2 linked regions of the Arabidopsis thaliana genome follow. The protein of the gene in region 1 interacts with the protein of each later gene in a biochemical or structural test. Each region holds a gene or a part of one and is shown on either strand. Other genes may lie near its edges. The genes, in order: CPSRP54 and ALB3.

Evidence for each region.
Region 2: the proteins of CPSRP54 (region 1) and ALB3 form a complex in vitro, tested with the Arabidopsis thaliana proteins (one study listed by BioGRID).

The regions. Positions count from the first base shown.
Region 1 is NC_003076.8:1,058,651-1,066,334, forward strand, and holds CPSRP54 (chloroplast signal recognition particle 54 kDa subunit), read right to left. Parts: upstream 4,776-7,684; 5' UTR 4,608-4,775; coding exon 4,458-4,607; intron 4,359-4,457; coding exon 4,223-4,358; intron 4,041-4,222; coding exon 3,973-4,040; intron 3,901-3,972; coding exon 3,799-3,900; intron 3,671-3,798; coding exon 3,518-3,670; intron 3,437-3,517; coding exon 3,359-3,436; intron 3,273-3,358; coding exon 3,147-3,272; intron 3,070-3,146; coding exon 2,967-3,069; intron 2,849-2,966; coding exon 2,748-2,848; intron 2,656-2,747; coding exon 2,518-2,655; intron 2,426-2,517; coding exon 2,206-2,425; intron 2,108-2,205; coding exon 2,022-2,107; intron 1,931-2,021; coding exon 1,805-1,930; intron 1,723-1,804; coding exon 1,615-1,722; 3' UTR 1,456-1,614; downstream 1-1,455. Other genes in the region: AT5G03920 (F-box protein), read left to right, coding at 1-31; AT5G03930 (F-box protein), read left to right, coding at 857-1,393; AT5G03944 (uncharacterized protein), read right to left, coding at 5,961-6,158.
Region 2 is NC_003071.7:12,354,643-12,362,258, forward strand, and holds ALB3 (63 kDa inner membrane family protein), read right to left. Parts: upstream 4,927-7,616; 5' UTR 4,517-4,926; coding exon 4,142-4,516; intron 4,054-4,141; coding exon 3,943-4,053; intron 3,833-3,942; coding exon 3,758-3,832; intron 3,681-3,757; coding exon 3,620-3,680; intron 3,536-3,619; coding exon 3,462-3,535; intron 3,361-3,461; coding exon 3,256-3,360; intron 3,115-3,255; coding exon 3,007-3,114; intron 2,915-3,006; coding exon 2,811-2,914; coding exon of another isoform or gene 2,777-2,810; exon of another isoform or gene 2,503-2,776; coding exon 2,353-2,502; intron 2,253-2,352; coding exon 2,027-2,252; 3' UTR 1,679-2,026; downstream 1-1,678. Other genes in the region: AT2G28790 (Pathogenesis-related thaumatin superfamily protein), read right to left, coding at 22-846. UniProt on the Arabidopsis thaliana protein: Required for the insertion of some light harvesting chlorophyll-binding proteins (LHCP) into the chloroplast thylakoid membrane.

The sequences.
Region 1 (7,684 bases):
TCTTCAATGTTTTTTCCCCTCTAAAAACTAATTATTATGTATATACAAAGTCTGTGAAATTTAAAAATATGTAAGCGTTTCTACCTAAATAATCAAGAGCTTTGTTTTGCACCAAAAAATTTACTGCAAAGGCGTTGATGCTTGATGAACAAGAAACCAATCCCCTATTTTTTTTTTATCCCCTATTTTCGAGGGTTTACCGGAGCTCAGAGGTCTCGGAGATTGTTGAAATGGATGTTTGAGAAAGAGAGATGAGCTCCGGCGGTGAGATAACGGCGGCGGTGTTAAGCGGAGGAGAAATGACATTTCTCTCCAAAACAAATTGAATCGAACCAAAAGGAATATCAACTTCTAATTCTAATTTGATGATAATTCGTCTTAACCGAAACTAAACCGAGAATTTAAGCGGTTGCTAAGATCTGAGGCCTTTTAAACCCCGAAGCCCGTTAAAGCCCTTTAACAGCATATTAATATCATGACAATAGTCTTAGTGGTTCCCCGTGCCATGCATAATTGCATATTATTAATTAAATTTATATTTAAACCTATGATATTAAATACATACAATAATAATGTAGTATAAAAATATGTTAACACATAATGTTTAAACCATGAGCAATAAATTTGGAAGTTAATAATATATGCATGTGAAAAGGAGATTATAGGAATTCAATATTTTGTTATAAAAATTACTCCTAATTAATCAATTAACAATTAATGAGAATTAATGCAAAAAAACATAAAAATAATTGAGAGTCATTGTGGTGAGATATAAAGAAGATTTGTAACACTAAAAATATGGATGGTGAATAACATAAAACTCATTCCAAAACAAAGAAAAGAGAAGTCACAGGTGATGATGGCCAAAGAAGGAGAACATTCCGGAGCTAAGGAAGTGAAACTTACCAAACCCAAAATTTCCTTGTCGGATCTCACCTTTGTCATTTACGTAACTACCCGAGAAAAGCTATCATCTTCTACCATAAGTTGTGAGGAGATACCACTTAAGAAATGTGGCGCGGAGCTAGAGTGTGGCTCCAATGATCGATTCCATATACAAGTCGAAAACTTGAGCCATATGGGAATCTCCAAGTCTAGAATGGCTGGTGTAAAGATCGAGTGCGAGGTCATTTATAAGGAAGACTCGGAAGACGAGGCGGTAGTTAGAATCGTTAATGCTGAAAGGCCATTAGGCACAAACTTTGGATGGCTGAACAACGATCTTCTTGCTCCACTAGCTCATCGTGGTCTAACAGCCGAAATCCAGCTGAGTTTCAACAGCGAGTTATTGGACAAGATCGACCTCCAGATATTCCACCGAGGCGAGGGGAGATATTTTTCCCAAGACGATACTCTTGGTTATCTTCAATGTTTTTTCCCATCTAAAATCTAAGTATTTTAGTTATGCAAAGCCTATGAAATATTTAAAAGTACAATTTGTATGCATTTTGTTTGGTCGATTATATGATATTTAAATAAGAATATATTTCTACCTAGATAATCATGAGTTTTGTCAACAAATTGGTAATTAACTTGTAAGGTTTCTGTCTCATTCATTAACTTATACAAAAAAATAATCCGTTTAGAAATTAACCAAATTGGGCTGAAATAGTTTTAGTTACCAGAGCCGAAGCCACGAGGACCAGGCTTGCTTGATGCTGACTCTACAAATTTCTTCCTTGAGTCTGCCTTTCTCTTCCTCCTTGCAGTTCCAGGTGGAGCCTTAAGATACATTTACAAGACCCCATTAAACTCTGGTACATGTTAAAGATGAAGAAGAAGAAGAAGAAGAAATGGAAGAAACCTTTTGTTCTGCTTTCAATGCGTCCTCGAGACCGCTTAATGCTGGAATTGATCCTCCTTCCATCACTCCCATCAAGTTCTTCATTTTCACTCTCATTTGGAAGATTTGTGCTACAAGTGCGCTCACCTGAACCAACAACAACAAAATGGTATTGAGAATCTCCTTCTTCTTGTCTGAGATCTGCACAAAACTAAGCTCACAATCTGAGCGAGAGTACCTGTTGTTCTGTCTTTCCTGAATCTTTAGCGATTCTTTTTCTTCTCTCTGGAGATTCTGCTAGTAACTCTGGTCTCTCTCTTTCCTCTGTTCCAACAGATTTAAACCAAGAATTAGACAACCAAAATCTAGTTTATGAAATGCTTGTTTATTTAATGGAATGGAAGAAAGGAACAGAGACAAACCGGGTGTCATCACTTCAATCATTGCTTCCATGACTAAAAGATTCTTTTCCGCTTCTCGGATTTGTGCTGGACTCACTTTCCCCATTCCGGGAATCATTCCAAGAACTCGTGTCATCGAACCCATTTTCGCTACAGCACGAGTCTGCTTTAGAAAATCGTTGAAGTCGAACTTTGCACTCATTATCTTCTTCTGCAGATCTTCTGCATCTTCTTGACGCATCTATAAAGACAGATGAAGAAGGCCTCAATGGATAGAGAGAGAGGGAGAGGAAAACATAGTTTTGATTGTAATTTTACTGAGAAAGAACTTACAACTTCTGTTGCCTTCTCTACAAATGAAAGCACATCTCCCATTCCTAGAATTCGTCCAGCCATTCGATCTGGATAAAAGGGTTCAAGATCCTCCATTCGCTCTCCACGTCCTACCAGTTTAATCGGTTTTCCTGATACCTAGTAACACCCATTTAAGTGTAAACTATCAATGTTGAGCAACATTAAGTAAATTTCTATAAAATAATTGATTAAAGAAGAAGAAAACAAACCTCCTTGACACTCAAAGCAGCACCACCTCTTGAATCACCATCTAGCTTTGTCAAAATGGCTCCTGTAATTCCTATCTCTACATTGAATGTCGTCACCAGTGCTGTAGGAAGTACAGAAGCTCATCTTAGTATATGACCGATACAGCTACGGTTTTGAATCTAATCCATTTTCAGGATGTCTCGAATCTTCTTGACAAAGGTAAAATAGAAACAGCGTACCTGCAGCTTCTTGTCCAGTCATGGCATCAACAACTAGTAACACTTCTGTTGGATTCAGAAATTTCTTCACGTCTTTTAATTCGTCCATCATGCCTTTATCTATCTGTCACAAAGAGGCAATTTCATGACTGAAGCTGCAATAGATTTATGATACAATGACTCTTAAAGACGAAACATTACCTGAAGCCTCCCTGCAGTATCCATAATAACTACATCAACATTGTTCTTTTTAGCTTCTTTTAGACCTTGCTTAGCTATATCTGCAGGTTTTACATCAGTCCCTGCTGTATAAACCGGCACACCAACCTGACACAAAGAGGGCATCAGGGAATATTGATTTCCGGAATCAAATATCATCACATATTCACACAGAGGTTAAGCCATTTCAATACCTGTTCACCTAAAATGACAAGTTGATCGATAGCAGCAGGTCGGTATACATCTCCAGCAATAAGCATGCAAGATTTTCCCTGTAAACATCATTATTAGTCAGTGTCATTGACAGAAAGTAGTAACAAACAATCCCATCAAAATCTCCACTGTATTCATACCTGCTTCTTTAGGTAACAAGCTAGTTTAGCACAAACCGTTGTCTTTCCAACTCCTTGGAGCCCAGCCAACAATATTACTGTAGGACCTGATTTAGCAAACTGTAACTCAGATACTTCTCCACCCATCAATTTCACTAGCTCATCATGTACAATCTGCAATAAAGCCATGATAAGCCACACTTGAGTACTATTGATACCAAAATGATCATCATAGAGTGAATCAAATATCAAACCATTATGCTAATGAAACAAAAACAAGAACCGGTTTTATTGCTAATTACCTTGACCAATTGCTGATCTGGTTTGACTCCACGAATGACACCCATTCCAACGGCTTGGTCACTAACAGACTGAACAAACCTTCTAACAACTGGGAGACTCACCTGTTAACAAAATTACTTTTATACCACATTCTTCACAAGAACCTAAATGAAACAGAATAAAACACCACTCACATCTGCTTCCAGGAGAGCTCTTCTGATATCCCGCATTGGCTCAGCAATATTGTCCTTAGTCAAGACCTCTGCAAGTTCAAATAACGTAACTAGCTTAAACCCGTGCTCATCTTTTCTGCATCTTCTAATAGCAAACACTACTCTTAACTACAAAGTTTTCTTCATTGAATACATCAATAAAACTTAGTCTCTATTCATTCCTCCTAATTTGAGCTCACGGGCAACGAAATAAGAAAGAAAAAAACCGAACCTTCGCCTTTGAGTTTGCTCCAAGCAGCCTCGAGGCCACCAGTCAACTGACCAAACATCTCGGCTCTCACTTGGCTTCTTCTGTATCTTCCATGGCCAACAACAGTCTTCGATTTCACCCAACTCCATATCTCTCGCTACTCAACACAGAACATCACAAACAAGACTAAATAACCAGAAAATCTTACAAAACCACCAAACTAAAAAACGAAAAGAAGCAAACTTTGAAGCCAAACCGTGGAGAGATTCCTAGAGGAGGACAGAGAAGCTGAATTGATGGTGCCACCGGTGAACGCAGAGCTGAAGGCAGCCTTAATTCTCCTATTTCCGGTACAGCTCAGAGTACAAGGAACTCTATTCACGCTGGAAAATTGAAGAGCCTCCATTACTAGTGAGTGAGTGATCAAAGCTCAAAACTTTTCACGACTCTCCGCAATCTTCTTGGTACTTCTATCTTCCTTTTGGATGGTTCCATTTTATCCGTTTCGATGACGTGGCCCAGTAACAGACCGTCGATGGTGAGCTTTCCACAAAACGCTGCATTTTAAAACTAGAACCATCTCTCTCTTTCTCCTTACAGGCGCGGCTCAGATCCCGACAAGTGTACGGCTAAGATCACGAATCTCTTCTTGAAAGTAATCCTCCGCGATTACCCAATCGGTTATCGGTTCGGTTCCACTCGATTTCGGTTCTTTCGATTATAAAGTTTATTTGAATATTTTAAAATTTAGTTCAGTTTGGTTCCACTTCTTTCAGTTTTAAAATTTAGTATCCATTGTTTTAGATATTTTCTGGTGTTTCGGTTATTTTTAGATATTTTTAAGTATTTTTACTATTATATATATTTTTCAAAAATTAAAAAACTTTTAATAGTGGTAAAAAATTGCAAATTTTAATTTATTTTTTTTAAAATGTAAAAAAATTATATGTATAAACATATTGAATTTAGAACACCGCTTAAGGACCTCATATTATGGACAAGATATTGTGTCCAATTAGTTTACACATAATTAAAATTTAACATTTAAAACAAAAATATTTTGTATAAAAACAAAAACAAAAACAAAAACAAAAACCTTAAATTTTAAATAGTGATATGAAAAATACAACTTAATATATTTTAAAATATAAAAAATGTTAAAATTTAAAGATGTGTATAACATATTGAACCTAGAACACCGCTTAAGGACCTTATATTATGGACGGGATGTTGTATTCATTTAGTTTACACATATTTAAAATTTAACACTTAAAAACAAAAAACATACTATGTATATATAAAAATTATTTTATCTAAAATATTAATTAGAAATAAAAAAAATATTAAAGTTTAAATAGTGGTAGAAAAAATACAAATTTAAAATTTTTTTAAAATAAAAAATTGTTAAACATTTATATATATGTAAACATATTAAACCTAGAACACCGCTTAAGGATCTCATATTATGGACGGGATGTTGTGTCCAATTAGTTTACACATACTAAAATTTAACATTTAAAACAAAAATATTATGTATATTTTAAAAATAAAACACTTGATCTAAAATATTACTTCAAAAATAAAAAAAAAACTTAAAGTTTAAACAAAAACTTGAATAAAAATTGCAAAAGATTTTTTAAAAATTAATGAGAAAAAACCCTTTTTTTCGACATCACTGAGGAAAAACCCTTTAATTAAAAATATATTAATTTCTAAATTAAACAAGAAAATGAGTTGCGAAATAACCTGACAATGGGGCTCATTGTTTGATGGGCTGAAATTGTTTGTGTTGGGCCTCCGAGAACACATCGACCATCTGAGAGCACATGCGATCATCAGTAACCGTTACCGGAAAAACGAATCCCCCAATCTCCGACGATCCCTCCACCTGCTCAATCTCCATCGCGGAGAAAACCTCCAACATCATGAATCCAAAAGCCTTAAATCCCGGCGACATGTAAGCCTTTAACTCCTTCGAATCGTCTCGCTCTCTCTTTCTACGGTGAGATGTGGTCCCAAATTGACGGCGAAGTGAATATCCTCCGTCGTTTATACGAGACGTGATGCTTGCGTGTGTGATGATCTCTCTCTCTCGTCTTCTTCGTAGCTATAACAAGTGAACAGAGATCCGTTGTATATGTATGAGTCTTTCTTGGGCTTTGACTTGTGGAATGATTCTTTCTAAACGAAGGGCGAAGAAAGAATCAGAGCATCATCATCTTGAAGCAGACAGATATCGAAGAAGAGAATTGATAATAAAGCTAATCAGAGAAATTGCATCTTTTAACTCGTGGAGATAGAAGACGCGAGACGCAGGTATTTATAAACTTATTTGTTTGAGACTCAAGTTTCCTTTTTCCTTTTCACTTAGGGTTTGTTTAAAGCCCAGAGCAAAACACCAACCTTAGGTTCGGTGATAATCTAGCCGTTATACACGGTTAGGTGATAATCTAACAGCTATACATGGTTCGGGTAACAAACTTTCCTTTTTTAAGTTGATACGCTCCTACTAATTTCTTTATATACGCTTCTCATTTATCTAAGGGTAATTTGCAAGCCACACCCTTTGATCATGTTTTATTTTCAGGAATTGCCAAAGTGAAAGGTGGTTTTCACGTTTTGTCTTTTCAGCTGAAATTTGACCATTTTGCCCTTGCTGCTACAGATGAGAAATTGTTGAATGTACGGTTTAGTTAGTCAGGTTTAGTTAGGTACACTGTTCCGGTTTAGTTAGAGATATTTTTGTTTCACGTTGAGGAGCGCGCTGTACAGTTAGAAGAGAGATTTTTTCATTATAAACGAAATGACATCAACATTTAATGGCCCAAAAAGTTTAGACGTGACTCTTGTTATAATTAATGCAAAATCATCATTACATGTTATTATATTATAAAATTATTGATAATAATTGTTGAGTTAAAGATGAATCCAGGAACAAACATTAATTGCGAACGTACATTGATGCTCAAGAAGTGTTGATCTTGTCTATTTACGAAGTTTGGAGCCAAGATAAGCATTATCGTGTAAGTAATGAAGTTTTAAAGATTTTTTTTGTTATAACACGCTATGATCTTCATTTTATTCGAAATCGACTTTGTTTTTTTATAGAAAAACCCAGAATTTTTTTATTTCCAATTTTGTTGGTTGAAAATGCTAAATGTGTAAATATTTATGTTTCTAAGTGTGTACATCGAAATTCTATTTATTTTTGTAGATATAATCATGTTTTCAGTTGCATTTAATGGGTTTCTCCTGAATTTATGATGCAGTTGGGTAATGGATATTCCCGTATTTACTATGGTCGGTGAGTGGAGATGCAAATAAGATAAATGGAAATTTGAACCAAAGGAAAACATGTTTGGTCGTTGTGTACGTGTTAAGGAAAACAGGACGTACACGGAATTTGTACGTACACTAAGCGAGGCTTTCAGTTTGAAATCCATAGAGATCAATCCCATAATTAGTTACTGGATGCCGGGAGAG
Region 2 (7,616 bases), on another chromosome or scaffold:
CCCTAGAACATGGCCGAAACATTAGTGGCAGAAGATGACTTTGAGCTCTCTAGGAGAAGCACAGTCATGCATAAGCGAAGGACTATCATGAGCAAAAGTGAAACTCGAAGGACACGCATGCTTAAAGAACAGCGAATGGCTCGAAGCTTTACACGTGTTAGGGCTATTGTAATGACCACGACAACACAGCTCGTCTGTATGGAAAGCCTCACACCCACTCTTACAAGCCACCACGTGTCCACTGTGTGACCGGACCTGAAGATGAGCCGGACACGTTTTTATTAGATCTTCACGACAACCAACGACAGGACAGACACCATGGCCTTCGTGAGGAGTCACGGTCATCGGAACATTGTAACCGTCAACGAGAGAGACACCGTAAGAGGAGAAGTCGTGGTGACCACCGTGGTGGAGGTCGAACTGAGCTAGAGAAGCTGGTGGTGCCCCGCCGAGACCGTTGCATTCCAGGCGGTTTCCGCAGTCTCCGGTGAGGCAGGAGAATTTTCCGTTGTAGTGGGCACACCAGGTTCTGGCCCAGATGCGACCGGACCAGTGTGTGGTTGGAACGTTGAAGGAGCGGTGAGTGAAAGTTGGGAGAGCGAAGCCACCTTTCTCTAGGACGGGGTGGCCGGCGTTGGGTTGAATGGCTGGCCAGACAGTGAAGGGACAGTTGTTGACGACGGTGAGGAAGAGACGGGAAGTGTCTACGGCGGAGGAGAAGGAGATGAGGAGGAGGAAGGAGGCGGCGAGAGGAAGAGAGGTTTTAGCCATTGTGTAGCTTTTGGTGTGAAAGGTGTGCCAATGCGACGTGTGTGTATATAAGCTAAAGTATTTTTCGATATGCATACATTTTTTGGAGTGACGAAAATACCCTTTGGATGTTTTGGGTGGTTAGGCAATGAATTTAGCATGTGGGTTTAAGGAGGCGAAGGGCTTTAATGTCAGTTTAAAAGAGATGAATATTGGATTCTATTTCTATGAGTCAAAAGCTTGAAAGCTCTTTAAAGAATAAAATGATGGCATGTGGTTTGTGACTAACGAAGCTTTGTTTCCTTCATTGGTAAACTAATCCTAATGTGTGTTTTTGGTAAATAGCACTATTTCGGATGGTTGAAAAATAACATATTCTGAAAATATTAGGCAGATATATTAATTTTTAGCTGTTTCCAACAGTTTTGCTTTTCTAGGATAGTAAGCATTCACATATGTAATGTTTACAAGTTACAATGAGTAAACCATAATGCAAACATTTTAGATGGACCGATTGATTTATGTGTTCTAAACTTCTAAACCTATTGAAATGTACACTCTATTACATGCTATGTGACTCATGATTGTAACAACATGACAACTTTCTCTGAATATTAGTGTAATGTGGCTACACTGACAAGTTATATTCGTTCAGATTAGTAACAGGGTTCTTTGACAAACACATCAAAACGACAAACACCAAACGACAACACGACAAAACAAGATGTCTTTTGTCTACTTGTACAACTTCGAGAATTTGAAAATCGTGTAACCATATCTTGGGCCTCAGCCCAATCCAAATCGTAATATTTTTACCTCTCTCTATTTTATCCATGCCAATCCAAAGAACAATGCTTCTTTGTCAGGAAGTAATTGTTGTTTATTCATGGGGAATCGTTGTCTCGTTTATTGCACAAATTACTATACTACTTGATTCACATTTACCATTTTTATAAGCTGACAAAGCTAATAAAAGCACCAAACAAATAGATTGCAAGTTTACAACAACGAAATGCTAACAAAACTGAAGCGGGCATGTTGAAAAGTCATAATAGTACACACATTTACGTTAATACATTTATAATAAGATGAATCACATAAACAATTTACTTTGATCAACTACTGCTTTTAACTTTAGAATGACCTTTTTGTGCCCTAATATTAGATAATTACCGGACATGGTGTATGCAAATATATATCAAAAGATCAAACTAAGGAACAAGATTCAAATCTCTCTCTTTTCTCTTCCTTACTTGCAATTTCGTTTGCTTTGGTTCTATACAGTGCGTTTCCGCTTCGATCTTTTGCTTCTTCGTTGGCCAACCTCAGGAAGCGGCTTGCTTGTTGTGCTCGAAGCTAACGCTCCTTCACGAGCCTCTTCTTCCTCATCATCAGACCCTTCTTCTGATTCAGACTGAGATTCTTCTACCAATTCAACTGTATCTTTCGCAACCGCCTTGTTCTTCTTGCTGCGCTTCTCTTGCTCTTTTAATTGTCTAAATCTGTTGTGATCCAATATACATTTATCAGAAATAACAAACTTGTAAGAAAAACGCTTCGTATTGAGAGATATAATCTCCACTAGACTCGGGATTCACTTACCTTTCGCCAGCATCGTCAGGCTGAGCAATAGATCTCTTTGCTCGTCCCGCACTTATTATTTTGCTTGCGTTTTCATCCATATTTGGCTTTGCACCACCTAGTTTACGCAGATATACTTGTTGGGCGGTACTAAGTACATTATTTGTGAGCCTAAAACCATAGGATGGTTTAACATAAGCAGTAGCATAATAAAAAGGGAAAAAATAAAACTCAGATCCTACCAATAAACACAGTCATATACAATAATATTGATGTTACAAAATGTAGTCACACTAGATGATTCCTTATCAAACAAGCTTCGTATTCCTCGAAATTCTAACCCGTCTTACGTACATTTTGAGAATGAAGCCATCTAGGTTAATTACTAGAGAAAATCTTTCTTATACTCCATTTAATGAGTAGATCAAGGGCATGGATAAAACAGTTAGATGAGAAGTTTCAAGGAGAGGGAAACCAACCAGTAAATAGATAGTCCTGATGGGACAGACAATGCAAAGTAACCGATCATGAGTGGAAGAAACTTGAAAACAAGAAGCGTATTCTTCTGTGCAGGATCATCAGTCTGACAAAAGAAATTAAATTCGGTTTCAGAACAATCATATCAAATTGTTTAAGTAACAGGAAAAATAAAAGAAACTTGTGTTTATTTCTCACTTGAGGAGGCTTCATAATTTCCATTGACACATACTGGGAGGCAATAAGTAGAACAGGTAGAACAAGATAAGCTACAGTGTCATACCATCCCAATGGTGGATGCCCGTCCTGCACCACCGAACGATATTAGACACCAATTTGATAAAGGTTCATTGCACAGCAAAAGACTCAGTTGTATGAAATTTTTTAGTATAAAGATAAGTATCAAATGAGAAAACGTATTCACATAAAGTTTTTTTCTTCCATTACCACAAACGGAAAAAGCCACGAAATGCCGGATCCACTCTGCCGAGCAGCTATAGATGTTGGTCCACCCAGAGATGGAATCCAAAAGAAACCTTCTGTAAACAATCCCTACAAAAAAAAAGTTTTTAGAACAATTAGTAGTTGAAAGAGACAAACTTATCCGGTCTCTAGCGAAATCAGTAGTTGAAAGAGACATAAGGTATATGTACCTCGTTGGCCACGTTAGAGAGAGCTTGGTATAAACCAATCCAAACTGGTATGGTTGCTAAAGTTGGTAAGCAACCTAACATAAAAAAAACAATAATGTGCATATGTCACCACAATTCAGGAAGGGAATACAAAACTCGTAACTTCTAAAAGAAAGTACCTGCCAACGGATTAACACCAGCTTGTTTATACAATCGCGATGTCTCTAGTTGTATCCTCTCCTATATATCCAAAAACAGAACAAACAAATCAGACTCGTCATCCACAAGTAACTCATTCTCTATCCAAAGAAACTCACCTGATTTCCTGCGTAACGTTGTTGAATCGCTTTGATTTTCGGTTGAAGATTTTGCATCGCTAGTGTTGATTCAACCTAAAGGATTCCAAAACAAAAGCAATGCTCAAAAATTCTCAACCAACATGCCAAAATTGAATCAAAGTGACAAGAGGAGCTGCAAAATTCAACTAATCACACTCACTAACCTGTTGCTTAGTCAAAGGATACGTCGCTGCTTTGACGATAATCGTAAGCAAGATAATCGCAAATCCATAAGCATAAGGTACATGAACCGCTGATAATCCATCCTTCAAAATCTAAAAATCCAAACCAAAAAACTTAAGCTACAAATACAATTTCCAGAATTCTACACACAGAGATCGAAATTAGCAGCTTAAAACTCACCTTAAGAACCAATTCCATAGCATCGGAGATAAAACCAAACCAACCACCACTCTTCTGCACGGCGGATGAATCAGTAGTTACGACGGAATCAGCACCAACAACGGCGGCGTCAGCTATTGTATAGAGAAGAGATTCAGCTCTGGTGAAAATCGCTCCGATGTCTACAGATGAATCCAAGCCATGGAAAGGAGGAATCTCGTTTAAGCTGAATCGTACGGTGGTTGAAGTAGTGAAGAGTTTGTTATTATTACTCCGGTATGGAAGAAATTGAGCGGTTCCTCCTCCTCCTACTCCACTGTGACGGAGAGATGACGACGGTTTAATCAACGGTGAACCGAAGAATGAAGATGGAGACGAGACTAGAACTCTCGCCATTGGAGCTTGAGAGGAGGATGAGAAGAGACGAAGAAGAAGATAGAGATTTTTATTTTTTTATTTTGTAAATTTTTTTCTGGATTTATCTTTTTTTGAAAATAAATTGGAAAATGAAAATGAGAGACGAAGCTGGTGATCGCGCGTGGTGGAGATTACATCCAGTCATAGGAGTCCACGTGGACATGTATCTAACGTGGGATATATCGGTGCTTTTTGTAGTTTGGGCTTATTAGGGCCCATTTTAGAAACAGGCCTGCTTAACTTAATAGGCTTAATTACCAATCCATCAATCTCCAAGCTCAATGCATGGATCACTTCCCCAACACAAAATAAAACTGAAAGCATACAAAATAGAAACCGATTTAGAAAATACTTTATGTAAATACTTTTCTATAAAAATCAAATCTCGAATGCTTTGTGAATGTATGGTAAGCTTTTCCACAAAATATATATAATTGTGAAGAAAAAGCTGCGTACTCTCTTTCAATTAGTTGACATCGAATCTGATTCTCACACCACCACCTTTCTTACTTTTATTTCTTGTCATTATCACTTTCTTTCCACGTTTTATATTATGTAGTTTTTATAAACAAAAAAACAAATGAACTAATCTGAAACATTTATCGAGAACCTATACACAACCCTAAAAAGGTAAGCTTGAGTCATAGGACTTAACTTCCCAAAGCCATAATCCGGTTCCCAAATCTTCATAACTTACGAAATAGTAAGTGATTACAAGGCCTTTAAAGATTAATCCCACAAAGAAAATGTATTTAACACTAGAGCTTGATCGATGTCTATAATGAGTTCAGCCTAAATAATGGTCGTAAATAATGCTCTCTAACGTAAGATAGTTATAAATTACGCTTTGAGTCCCAAGTCTAGTGGAAAAAACAAATGGGATAGAATTTTCATGCTTTTAGGGAATTAAATGTGACCGCAAATGGGACTAAGTAAAATCTTTTGGATAATGATCTCTAGTGTTGTATAGATTTTAGGATCCTAATCTCTCAGTTAATAAGCAAAAAGAACAAGGTTTAAATGTTCATAGAGGGATTCGTTCCTTAATCTCTAGCTCAGATCGATAGCTTCAAAACCTATAATCAATAATCTCTCAATAATTTTTTACCAAAAAAAACAAACCTATAATCACCGGCTCGCTCTAAGTGCACACCCATACGTTTATGTGATGTAATATTCAACAAAACATAGCTAACGTTATGAGTTTTTTTAAGCATCATACTGAATTAAATATCTTCCACATTGTTTTCAAGAATCATCCACCGTTCCTCAATTATATTTCACACGTCACGATCATATATAGACCTATACCAAATACTATATATAGAAATTAAATTTAAAGTTGTTTTGAAAATAATTATATTTGTTATTATTATTTTTCGTTGTGAAATAATTATTTATTTCATAATTTGTTTTTTAACATAAATTTTTGATAGAAATGATGATGTTGTAAGTTTGACAAAAAAAATAAAAAAAATGATGATGTTGTATTTTTTTCTTAATTTTATATGACAACGAACGATTAAGAGTTCGTATTTATTGTTTTATAACATAACGACGTCGACACAGAACTTTCAAGGCTAAACTCACTTTTTGATGGAGACGTAAGAATAATTTATGGGTAATAACTCATTAATTTGTTACTAAATAGAAATTATTTCTCTAAAATGCTTTTCAATTCATATACAAAGGATACATAGGAAAATTATAAAAAGTAATATTTGTATGTACGGACCATCAGAATAATAACGTAATATTTTTTAATCAGGTTGCATATTACCTCGGGCTTCCATTGATTAATGGGTGCATAAGTAATTAAGTAAATTCATATGCAAAGTTAAGAGTGGTACAAATTATAACCGCATATGCGTTCTTTAAAAAAGTAATTATGAAAATTTGTTCGGCAGATGAAGCAAATGATTAGTACACCTATGCCAAATCTTAAAAAATTAGAATGGAAAGCGATATATGAAATTGAACGTAGTCATATTGAATTCGTAATCGAGACTTTCACTATTGTTTTTAAGAATGTTTGGACGAGAAAGAAGCTCATAAAGCAATAAATTAGTTAACGTTCATAATTGAAGCATTGACACCAGGAGAGAAAAAAAGAGCAATTCATTGCTTCCCTAGTAAAAAAAAAAAAAAAAAAAAAAAAAAAAAAAAAAAAAATCAGATATTTGTGGATAAAGAGTTAAAAGAAATTGTTTCGTCATTTTTTTCTGTCATAATTTCGTCAACTTTTTGTTTAACAATATGCATTATATAAATTTTATTAATAATAGTAACACATAGACACGATTGTAGCATAAACCACTAAAATACATGGTTTCAGTGTATCTAAGCTTTTGACATGTAGAAGTTCTACGTTTTTCATGATAAATTCGAAAAATTATTGAGAAATGATATATGGTCAAAATGAAGAAAAAAAGAGAGAAGATAACAACAAAATGGAGAAGGACAAGAGCACAAAAGAGATGAGTGGGATTATGAAAAGGTTTGCTGATGATTTCATGCATGATCAACTAACGTTAAAGATTATTTGTTTTTAGGGTAATAATACAACATATACGCCATTTTAGGCAATCTCTTTCTGAAAAAGATGTTCGCATTTATATACGAAACGACTGATTATTAAAGATATATACTACATACAACAAAATCGTTAGGGAAAAGTAAAAGAGAAGATAAAATGTAGAGACAATTTGAAAGATCTCTTCTTTGTTCTTCTTTTGAAAATAAAAATAAAAGTAGACATAAAATAGAAGTTGTAAATGACAGGTTTCATCTTTTTCATGCTTTTTTTTCCCTTTCTTTACGTCGTTTGATACCGAGTAAAGTTATTTTCATACTAAGATTCAGTCATTATTCTTGTTAGAGTTATTGTTCTTATATATTGAAATATTAATATCAATAGGAAACGAGATTAGTATCATAGTTTTTTAATGATGACGTAGAACATTTATATTTCATTGAATAGTTAATAGTAGACAATCAATGGTTGTTTTATTGTGAATTTGGTTCACCCCTTTCATTTGTTTTATTGCAAGATTACAAGCTTATATATGTTTGCAATCAA